Linked DNA regions of Arabidopsis thaliana. The protein of the gene in region 2 interacts with the protein of the main gene of each other region in a pairwise test. Each region holds a gene or a part of one and is shown on either strand. Other genes may lie near its edges.

Region 1 (5,373 bases), on a different chromosome or scaffold from region 2:
CAATACCTTGTGATGTTTTTGATCTTTAGAGGAGCTGAAAAAGGAAGCATTTTGTTCTCTTTGTCACAGTCCCAGCTGAAGAATTTGACAGATGATAAGCATGGGATTGGTTCTTCATGGAGGCAAGATAAAGGAAACTCATCGATCTCCATGCAAATTGATCTGGAGAAACAGTTAGATTGTTGGAGGGAAAACCCTTCGTGGACTGATCAGATCCCAGTCGTTAAGGTGAGCAAGAGATGAACTTTACAACATGGTTTTGTCAGAGTCTTTGAGAATCTTGTTATATGATAAATAATAACAAGATTTCTTTACAGGTGGGTATTCCAAAAGGATCGCTTTGCAATCTTAAAGCCGAGGTGAATGTTGGTTTACCTCCTGATGCAGTCTATAACATTGTAATTGACCCTGACAATAGAAGAGTCTTCAAGAATATCAAGGTACGTTTCTTATAGATTATCTTGTTCTCTCTGTTACAGTTTTAAGCTCCTGTGATTCATTGGCCTCGGAATTACAGGAGGTTATGTCGCGGAAAGTATTGGTAGATGACGGGTTAAGGCAAGTGGTGGAAGTTGAACAAGCAGCTTTGTGGAGATTTCTCTGGTGGTCAGGAACAATCTCAGTTCATGTCTTGGTGGATCAGGATCGGGCAGATCACTCTGTAAGACCTCTACGATTATAACAAAAGTCTCAAGTTTCTTGAATGGTTCGTGAAAGGGGATTTAAATGGGTGTTGCAGATGAAATTCAAGCAAGTGAAAAGTGGATTCATGAAGAGATTCGAAGGAAGCTGGCAAGTAAAGCCTTTGTTTGTGGATGAACATATGTGCGATCGTTTGAAACCGAAAACGCTGGAGGAGTATAACAGGTGCACTGGAGGTAAAGGGAGGATCGGATCTAAGGTAACGCTGGACCAGCTAATACAGCCAGCGATTGTTCCACCTCCGCCCATTTCTTGGTATCTCAGAGGAATCACGGCTAAGACGACAGAGATGCTTATCCATGACTTGTTGGCTGAGACCGCCAGGATCCGTGCAGCTGGAGTAATGGAGGATGGTCACTCGCCCGATGAGCAACGGATTGGCACACCTGGAGATATAAAAGAAAGATGGTCTGCACATAGAAGAACATCAAGGAGACGACGCAATGATTTGTGTTAAGTCACAGACTCACACAGTCCATGATTCTGGGATAATAGATATCTTGAGGATTTTTGGATCACCCAGCAATATGTGAACATAATATAATATTTGTTTTCATAAGATACACTGGCATATAAATGTGGGAATCTATTCCTTGTTGAAGAAGTTTACAACCATGACTCAATGACTCATGACCATTACAACCATGACTCAATGACCAATAGTGATATGAATTTTCAAATATACAAAATTTCTAATTCATTTATTTTGGTAAAGAAAGAAAGATATTTCTGTGATGAAAACGATGCAGACGTGAAAATAGGATACGCAAAAACAAGAAAGCAAAACAATCAATCATATTAATCCAGGCACAATACACGAAAGCTATTTAAAAGGGTTCTTCTAGTAAATTTTTAGGTACAAGACCATCTACTTGCACAATAAGAAACATTCACATACCCAAAAAAGCAAAAAGGTTCAGATAATATTTATAATCTCTCTTGCATCAAGACAGAGAGAGATCCCAACACAGCAGACAGAATCATCTCGATGCAACGCAATTTCTCCCTCATCATGCCTGTGCAAGAAGAGCAACACGAGGTAAAGATATAAGCATCGCAGAATAAAAAGAAACCAGCTCGTTAGATTTGTGTGTTTTTGAAGAAACTTATGTAGTTATGTTACCTTGCCAGCGATGTTGTTGGAGAGCCAGTCCAGACCTTCATAAAGCCCTTCACCTGAAGTGGCACATGTGCTCTGGATATACCTGTAGCGAGCAAAAACACACATCAGTATCGAACAGAAATTGTTTGACTTTTGAAACTTATAAGGATGTTTATTTACCAATGACGCTGACGGAGGGAGTGAAGGCCAAGCTTATCTGTGATTTCAGCAGCGTTCATAGCATTTGGAAGATCTTGCTTGTTGGCAAACACAAGCAACACAGCATCACGCAGCTCGTCCTGCAATAAAAGAGTTGGTAAGTAAAGGATTTTCAAACTAACAAAACTATGAAGAAGAACTCTTTCTCTATAGCACTGGATATTTACCTCATTCAGCATCCTGTGGAGTTCATCTCGAGCCTCAACAACTCTGTCTCTGTCATTGCTATCAACAACAAAGATTAGACCTTGAGTGTTCTGGAAGTAGTGTCTCCACAAGGGACGGATCTGAAAAAGAAGCCAAAAAGTCAGTTTATTTGGGTGAAAAGTTCCTTCATCAAACAATAAGCAGTACAGAGACTCCATACCTTGTCCTGACCCCCGACATCCCACACGGTGAAACTAATGTTCTTGTATTCCACAGTTTCCACATTGAAACCTGTTGATAGAATTTAGCATATCACTAATCGATCCTAGATTTTATACCATCATCACAATTTAAAAACCAGTACTAAGGTGTGAAGCTTCTTTACCAATAGTAGGGATGGTGGTGACAATCTCTCCGAGCTTGAGCTTGTACAAGATTGTGGTCTTACCAGCAGCATCAAGACCAACCATCAGAATTCGCATCTCCTTCTTGGCAAAAAGCCTGCTAAACAGCTTGGCGAAACTCAACCCCATTTTGCTTCACTGCAAACAAACACAACAAAGTCTAATATCAAAAACCTCATACACATTCTATATCACGCGATTTTCATCTCAGAAATCCTAAATTATGCATCTATAATGCCAAATTCAATTCTTATATCCTCTAAGAACCTGATCAATACCAAAATCGTCACTCACAAACATCAAATTTCAACGAGATCAGGCCGATCCAAACAGAGAATCAAACGTCCCGAGATATCATAATCTCTCTGATACAGATCTTCAACATCTCAGAAGCTATCAGATACAATCACAACGACGGAAAACGAAAGTGAATAGAAAATTCAACAGATCCACACTATCAGATCGTAATCAGAAACGTCGACATATATACACATCTTAAAAATAAAATCGCATTATCCATTCATGAGCAAGATCAACCTCAACGAAATCAATCACGACGATTCCAAAACCATCAAAATTCACAAGAAACGAGAAATGCAGAACACATACAGATCTACGCTAAATTGAGAATGTATGAGCACAGATCTTAGATCAAAGCGTACCTACGAAGAATGTTTCGGAGAGATCTGAGAGAGAGAGACCGCGAAGAAACGGAGAGAGCGAGAGAGACTCGAAGAAATTTGAAAGAGAAATGTGAGAGAAGCTTAAGAGAAACGCGATGACGCCGAAATGGGAAGTGGTGGAGAGCAATTTTATAAGGGAGAGGGGTACCGGTTTATTCGTCGTTTCTCACGCCAATTAACGAAATTGCCATTTGTAATTGACGGAATTACCCTCTTCGAATCTTCTATGACCAAGTGTGCAGGTGTTCGCGAGCTAACCAATTAAAACTTAACACGTGAGCAATACTCTTTTCTTAAGTGCTACTTCATCTCCAGTGAAAATTTCGTTATTTGTTGATGTTGTCTGACCAATAAGAAATCGTCATTTCAATCAATTTTGATAAATTTTATAATTATTAAAATAATTTTAATATATATAATATGATTACATATCTACATCTATTAATGATATTTTTAATGAAATTTTGTTTGTCTGGTTTGGTTAACTTTGGGAAACGTTAGCCACAAAATCATTTAAAAGATTTATTTTCAAAATGATAAAATTAATCAATTGAGAGACAATTCCGGTTTAGTATTAGCTTAAAAATTTAAACATTTGGGTCTGGTTTTGCTGCCAACCCTTAACGATCATAACAAAACATAGAGAGATGAGCAAATGCTACAAACTACCAAATAAGCATTCATTTTTTATACAAAAATATTAATCTTTACCTTAATTATAATCAATTTATAAACACTACAATGCTTTTCAATCTCATTGTATATGCTTCATTAACAAGCTATATATATAAGGTCAGTTGCTAAAGATGAATTACAACTAAATATAACGTGCACATTCCTCACTACAACGACCGTCAAAATATGTGATCACCTTAAAGCTCATCATGAGCATTTTCAGTTTCTTTTTCGACCATAATAGTTTCTGCCAAATACTGATCAGTTTGGTTTAAGCTCTTGTCGTCATGCGAATACAGACAATCCGCAGAAGGATGAACTACACCATAACCAAACCCTTCAGCAGAGTTACAATATGCTTCTACTTTTCCATCATTGCCTTCCAAGTTGATATTGTTGAGGACAATGTGGCTGCAAGGGACTGCGTCACTACACTTGAAGTTGATGGCTTTTGAGCTTTTCGTGGTTCCGGTTATGTTCCTGTACATTATCTCGGATATGTGAACCGCCGATGTCTGCAAAGAAATAGGAATCAAAAGATTAAGTTTCTTTCTTGAGGTTTGTTGATAAGTCAATGGTTATGTGAAAGAATTAAAACCTGGTTTTGACAAGTTGATGGTGAATCACAGTAGAATTGATCGATTATAATCGGATTCGCAACGTCCTGCATCACTACGTTCTCGAAACGTACACCCTTTACGTAACCATTACCACCCTGTTTTAAAGAGTTTCATCTTTCAATCAATCCTGAAAACTCTTTGGAAGGAAAGCAAAGATCAATAGAATTGAGATTTTACCTGCCATGTCTTGATTCTTAGACCATTAGTTGTGTTCTTTAAGAACGCAGTTTCCAACACAACTGCAGTGACGGTTCCTTTCGAATGTCCTTGTCCAAGACTTCCAATACTACAGAACAAGAAATTATTTGCAATCAATAATAATATATGTGTCTCATTTCTTTTTATGGTTAGAGATGGTTTACCTGATTCCATGTCCTGGTCCACAGTAGATCCTCTTCATCTTTATCTTGGCGCTTCCATTCACAATCGAGACACAATCATCTCCTGTTTTCAAGTTGAAGTGTCAGCTATAACATTTTGAGTTTAATATTATAATTACCATGATAGTGTTTTGAGTTAAATAGAAGTTTTTGGTGAAGAACCTGTGCTGATTTTACTGTCTTGGACTACAACATCGGTAGATGCGGTTATATGAATTCCATCAGTGTTGGGACTGTCTCCTGGAGATGTGACCATAACTCTAGAGATTCGAACTGTAGTTGACCGTTGTATGATCAAGTGCATCTGTTGGCTGTTCCGGATAGTTAAGCCTCTCACATACACATTTGAACTTGAATATATAGTTAGAGCCTGTATAAAAGTAAAGACTTTCTTATAAGCAAAATCAAACATAAATGATAAGTCTAATGGTCGATGAACAC
Region 2 (5,010 bases):
AAACAGAAGCCTTATGTGAGTTTCTTACTTTTGCCTGACCCTTAATTTTTTGTACTTGCAGAGCTATTTCATCTTGAACTGGTTGAAGGCGAAACAATTAGAGAGTGGCTCTTCTTTGACAAACCTAGAAGAGCATATGATAGCGGAAACCGAAAGCAAAGATCACTTCCAGATTACAGTGGAAGAGGTTGGCATGAATCAAGAAAACAACTGATGAAGGAACAAGAAGGCCAGAAGAGATCTTACTATATGGATCCACAACCTCCAGGTCCCTTTGAGTGGCATCTCTTTGAATACCAAATCAATGAATCTGACGCATGTGCGTTATATCGCCTAGAACTTAAAGTAGGAAATGGAAAGAAGAGTCCTAAGGGAAAGATTTCAAAAGACCCTCTGGCTGATCTGCAGAAGAAGATGGGACAGTTTAAAGTGGCTTCAGACAAACCCTCTCCTCCAACCAAAGGTCGTAAGGAGTGAAGTTAGCTATTGGTAATCTAACTCAAGACTCCTGCAACAATAGCTCCAAGTTGTCTCCAGCATTCTACAAAAGAGCCATCGCCACCTCTGTTTTCTTTTTTTTTTTCTTTCTGACTGTATTATGAAGAGATAGGATCTTTGATGTGTTGTGTTAATATGGACAAGTCTGGTCTTTGCCCTTTTTCTTGATAGAATCGTAGATGGGTTTGTAAATTTTTGCATTTTATTTTTCTCCTTTAAAACCACAAGGATTTTGTTAACGAAGTGGTGTATTCATATTTCAAAGGTACATTTGCAACACCATTGATTCTTTATTCCAATTCTTATCTACGTGTGTGTGTGAATGAAACTTGAAACCAATACAAGTCACTAATGCTCTCAGATTATGTAATTGGGCTTTACTGGGCCGTTTATAAAATTGGGCTAGAAAAAGGGAGACAGCAGACGACAAGAGCATCCTTGTTCTCTTTAAACCCTAAATTACAAGCAAATCACCAACAGAGAGAGTAATGGCGAAAAATTCTGGTAGCTCGTTTGAAGCAGAGAAATCAGAGGGAAAGTGTGTTACGACGACTACTGAAGCACAAGTAATTCAAAATTCTGGCTGATGAATTATGTATTTGATTTTACGTATTTGTAATTCACTAATTCTCACTGATTCATACAATTTGTGTCGTAAATGAACAGCAAAGTAGTCAACCTGTTTTGAGCAAGGAAGAGGAGAAAGTGAGAGATAGCTACTTGTTCTGCTGTGAAAATTTCTACACTCTTCCTGAGATGATCAATTTCATGAAGGAGATTCATGGTGTAGAACAAACCACTGTGACAAAGGTTTTCAGGGAACTTTTAAAAGGTAGAAAAGCTGAAGCATATCTCAGAGAATCTCAGAAAAGAATGAAGGCAAGAACAACAACAACAACTTGAACAGAGGAGGATGAGGCTTAGGTTGCTCTAATTTGAAATTCTTTGGTTTGGTTTACTGGTTAGTAAGAAATAGACTTGTATTGTCACATTTTTTTATCATATTTTGAGGTCCATTGCTTTGGGTGTATGGACCAGACTAGGACAAATGAATAGGAGATGCAAAAGGGTAATAATGGAGAAGTCAGTCTTGTTGGTCTATTCTTGTCCGAGTCCATGATTTTTAGAGGGAGAACTAGAAGGAGGAACTAAAAGTTGTTTAGGTTAATGGTTTAGGTGCTAAGTGTTGGCTCTGTGTGTTACTTATGACTCGTGGGATCTAATGTCTTGTGAAAAATCACTTGTGAGATAAAATGGACATAGTCTAGAGAAGAAGGTATATAAGAAGAAAAGCAGTCAACTTAACTACAAAATCACAACGGCTCACAACTGTTTTATGTTGTAGAAGTTGGTTGCTTCTTAGAGTGGTTCATTCTTCATTACCAGCTAACCGCAAATAACCGTGACTTGAAGTCTTTCGAATTACACTTCTTTCACTCGTGGTTCAAACTTCTTCTGTTCAAGTTGTTATGCCTTCTCCAGCCATTACTTGATTTCAAAATGGTGTTGATGGTCTCATTCTTGAAGGCTTGGATGTTTCTCAACTTTTTGCTCTTGAACAAGAGCCAAGAGGTGATGGGACTCCGTAGTACAAACACAATTTAAGAACGTTTGAGTAAGAGTTTTGATTCACATTGAAAAAAAAACTTAGAAGAAAAAATGAACCAAACTAAAATAATCAAATTAATTTAGTTTATTAATCAAGAATTAAATCAAGTTTTAATAATAACCTGAATTGTAGATTTTTTTTCTTTTCTTAATAGTCGAATACTGAACACTGTAGTATTAAATGAAAACTCAAAGCCCAATATAATTCAAAGCCCATCGAATCAAATATCTGGCCACTCCACTTATTCTTAACTTGAAACTTAAAAGCCGAAATCGTAAAGAGAGAATCTGGTCGGAATAATCCACTCGAATCTTAAAACGACGTCGGTTTAACCAAATGCGAGTCAACGGATGCTGCTGCAATGCGTCGTGTTGTGTTCGTCACTCGCCGTCGTCGTCATCTCCGTCGCTTCGACCTCTCCCCTCGTTGGTGTTCACCCTTTAGGTTACTTCTTCGATGACTCTTATCTTTATTATATCGACAAATCTGAAAAATGTTCTTGTTCTCTGATTCTTACTTACTTCTTTGTTGTGAGGCAGATGAAAAGTATTTCGACTCAGATGTTATCAAATGCAAAGATGGCTCCAAATCTTTCACAAGAGATCGTCTCAACGACAACTTCTGCGATTGTCTCGACGGCACCGATGAGCCTGGTACACACTTTTTTCTCAATTTAGAATCCAGAGAGCTGAGATGACATGAGACTTTAAATTCTTTCCAGATAAAAAGATTTAGGACTAGAATTGATCGAATCTTATTCTCTTTCACAATTTCAATTATGAAAAATGTGTTCTTGTGAGTAAGTTTCTGAATTTCTGATTTTGCATTACAGGAACTTCGGCATGTCCAAATGGCAAATTTTACTGTAGGAACATTGGAAGTTCTCCAAAGTTCGTTTACTCTTCTCGTGTGAATGATCGAATCTGTGGTCAGTAGTTACTAATGTTCTGAATTCGACTAAATGATTCTCGTTTCAGCTGTCTCTTGCTGTATGCTAGTAATCTACATGTTTTTGTTGGATTGGATAAGCAGCATGACATTGTCTGTTTCTCAGATTGCTGCGATGGAAGCGACGAGTACGAAAGTAGCATTCATTGTCCCAACACTTGTATAATGGGTGGTAACGTTAACTACATCTACAAACCTAGAGCCAACCTTAAATCTATACACTTGCAACTCGGTTCAACGCCTCATCCAAAGGAGTTTTATACTATAGGAAATCTTCAGGACATGGTCAAGAATCTACAAGGTTTTGCAACTTTTCTTGGGAAGCTTATTTGTTTTGTTTGATTGTCTAGCAAACTGATACAAAAACAATTGTTGTTGTTGTTGTTTCCAGGTATGAAGCTTGTTTTCGCTCTTCAGATGGTTTTTATCGGTTTCTTAGTGATCTTATGGATGCTTAGGAGTCGTGCTCGGTCTAAGAGACGACGCTATCTGCTGAAGAATGTACCTCCCATTAATAGATCAGCTAACTAACTCCCTGGAACTTGTATTATACTTTTGTGAAGCTTTTACGTGGAACCTGAGTGTTAAAGCCACATATGTCAAGTGTCATTACTAGCTATACTTATTCAGTGTGAGATTGTTTGTTCCTAGTTACATAATTGTCTTGGTCTTCATGTTTATTAAGCCTTCAGATCCTCAGACCATAGTAGGTACCGATGAGTCTTATCACAAGTAAGATAGTCACATGATCTGCAGATTTTCTAGAAAATGGATGGATTCACAATTTGAATGATCTCATGGTGAATTATTCGACTGATATAAGGTTTTATGAAAATGAACTCTTGTTTGTTTCTCACAGACAAAATCAATATACAAAAAACATTACAAGCCATTGAAGAGAAGAGAGAAATTTACAGTTAAAAAATCCTGAAAAAATGATTTGTAAACTCAAGATTGGAAACATCCACAAGTTGCCTTTGGAACAATTCTAATGGCCCAGTATTTTAGCAGCCGTTTCTTCTTGCTTCTCCACGCTTACCTTCAATCATTGCACTTCTTTCTTCTGCTTCCTTGTGAGTCACTGAAACCTAATTCATCCTCTCTGCATACTCCTGCTTTCTTCTTCTCTAGTTCCTCCTGCAGTGAAACAAATTCACAAACACTTCACTTCTCATTGTTCTCAATCACATTGAAACAGTATCAGCTCTCTATTGCTAAGTTTATTTTACCTCCATTTTCTTGAGTTGCACTTCGACAGCTGCTTTCTTCACTTCTCAACGGAAAACTAGTCACATAGTTTAGTTTAAGGTCACCTCTAACGAGTGAAGCAGACCAAGATTTCGCCAGTGCAGATTCTGTAAGAATTTTCATTCTACTAAAACATAAACAGCAATATGCCAAGCCTTAACACAAAGAGTGTCACAGGTAAACACATACAGAGCAAATGCATGATTCTGTCATAAAGCTTCAAATTTAGCTGTAATATATTACCTCCATGGATGTGTATTGAATCGTAAATAGGCCGCTTCTCTCTCGAAACAAGAACTAGCAATGGTAGCCTGATGTCAACGTATGTTGTATGAATCAAGTCCCCAGTGCAACTTGAAGGTAAAAGAACTTCTTCACACTGTTAGGTCGAAAGGTGAAACTTAAAGCTTATGTACTAGACAAGGCGATGGAACTTCTTCACACTGTTAAGGACAGACTTAGAGGTAAAAGAAAAACTTGAGTAGCTCATGGAGTTTAGCTAGAGGTTGGTCGCTAAGATATTTGTAAACTGAAGATGCTAATGGTTATATTAGGGATGATGATCTTGAAGGAATTATTTGGAAATGACATAACAGATGATGTGTGATTTCCTCCTTTAAAACAAAATCGTTTGGTTTTGATAATCATGAAAATATTTCTATGAGATTACTGTCCGACACACATTTAGAGAAATAATTCACTGACTA

The links. Proteins that work in one complex are often made in the same cells at the same time.
Region 1: the proteins of AT2G42390 (region 2) and ARFA1D interact in a protein complementation assay, tested with the Arabidopsis thaliana proteins (one large-scale study listed by BioGRID).

The regions. Positions count from the first base shown.
Region 1 is NC_003070.9:26,562,450-26,567,822, forward strand, and holds ARFA1D (Ras-related small GTP-binding family protein), read right to left. Parts: upstream 3,363-5,373; 5' UTR 3,237-3,362; exon of another isoform or gene 2,713-3,236; 5' UTR 2,704-2,712; coding exon 2,556-2,703; intron 2,462-2,555; coding exon 2,391-2,461; intron 2,311-2,390; coding exon 2,191-2,310; intron 2,104-2,190; coding exon 1,985-2,103; intron 1,908-1,984; coding exon 1,826-1,907; intron 1,719-1,825; coding exon 1,713-1,718; 3' UTR 1,269-1,712; downstream 1-1,268. Other genes in the region: AT1G70480 (OBP32pep, putative (DUF220)), read left to right, coding at 70-228, 318-440, 518-661, 740-1,159; AT1G70500 (Pectin lyase-like superfamily protein), read right to left, coding at 4,130-4,447, 4,531-4,647, 4,730-4,838, 4,915-4,996, 5,095-5,302. UniProt on the Arabidopsis thaliana protein: GTP-binding protein involved in protein trafficking; may modulate vesicle budding and uncoating within the Golgi apparatus.
Region 2 is NC_003071.7:17,649,957-17,654,966, reverse strand, and holds AT2G42390 (kinase C substrate, heavy chain-like protein), read left to right. Parts: upstream 1-2,323; 5' UTR 2,324-2,457; coding exon 2,458-2,551; intron 2,552-2,646; coding exon 2,647-2,760; intron 2,761-2,939; coding exon 2,940-3,035; intron 3,036-3,161; coding exon 3,162-3,356; intron 3,357-3,446; coding exon 3,447-3,586; 3' UTR 3,587-3,861; downstream 3,862-5,010. Other genes in the region: VOZ2 (vascular plant one zinc finger protein 2), read left to right, coding at 62-477; AT2G42395 (uncharacterized protein), read left to right, coding at 987-1,064, 1,165-1,401.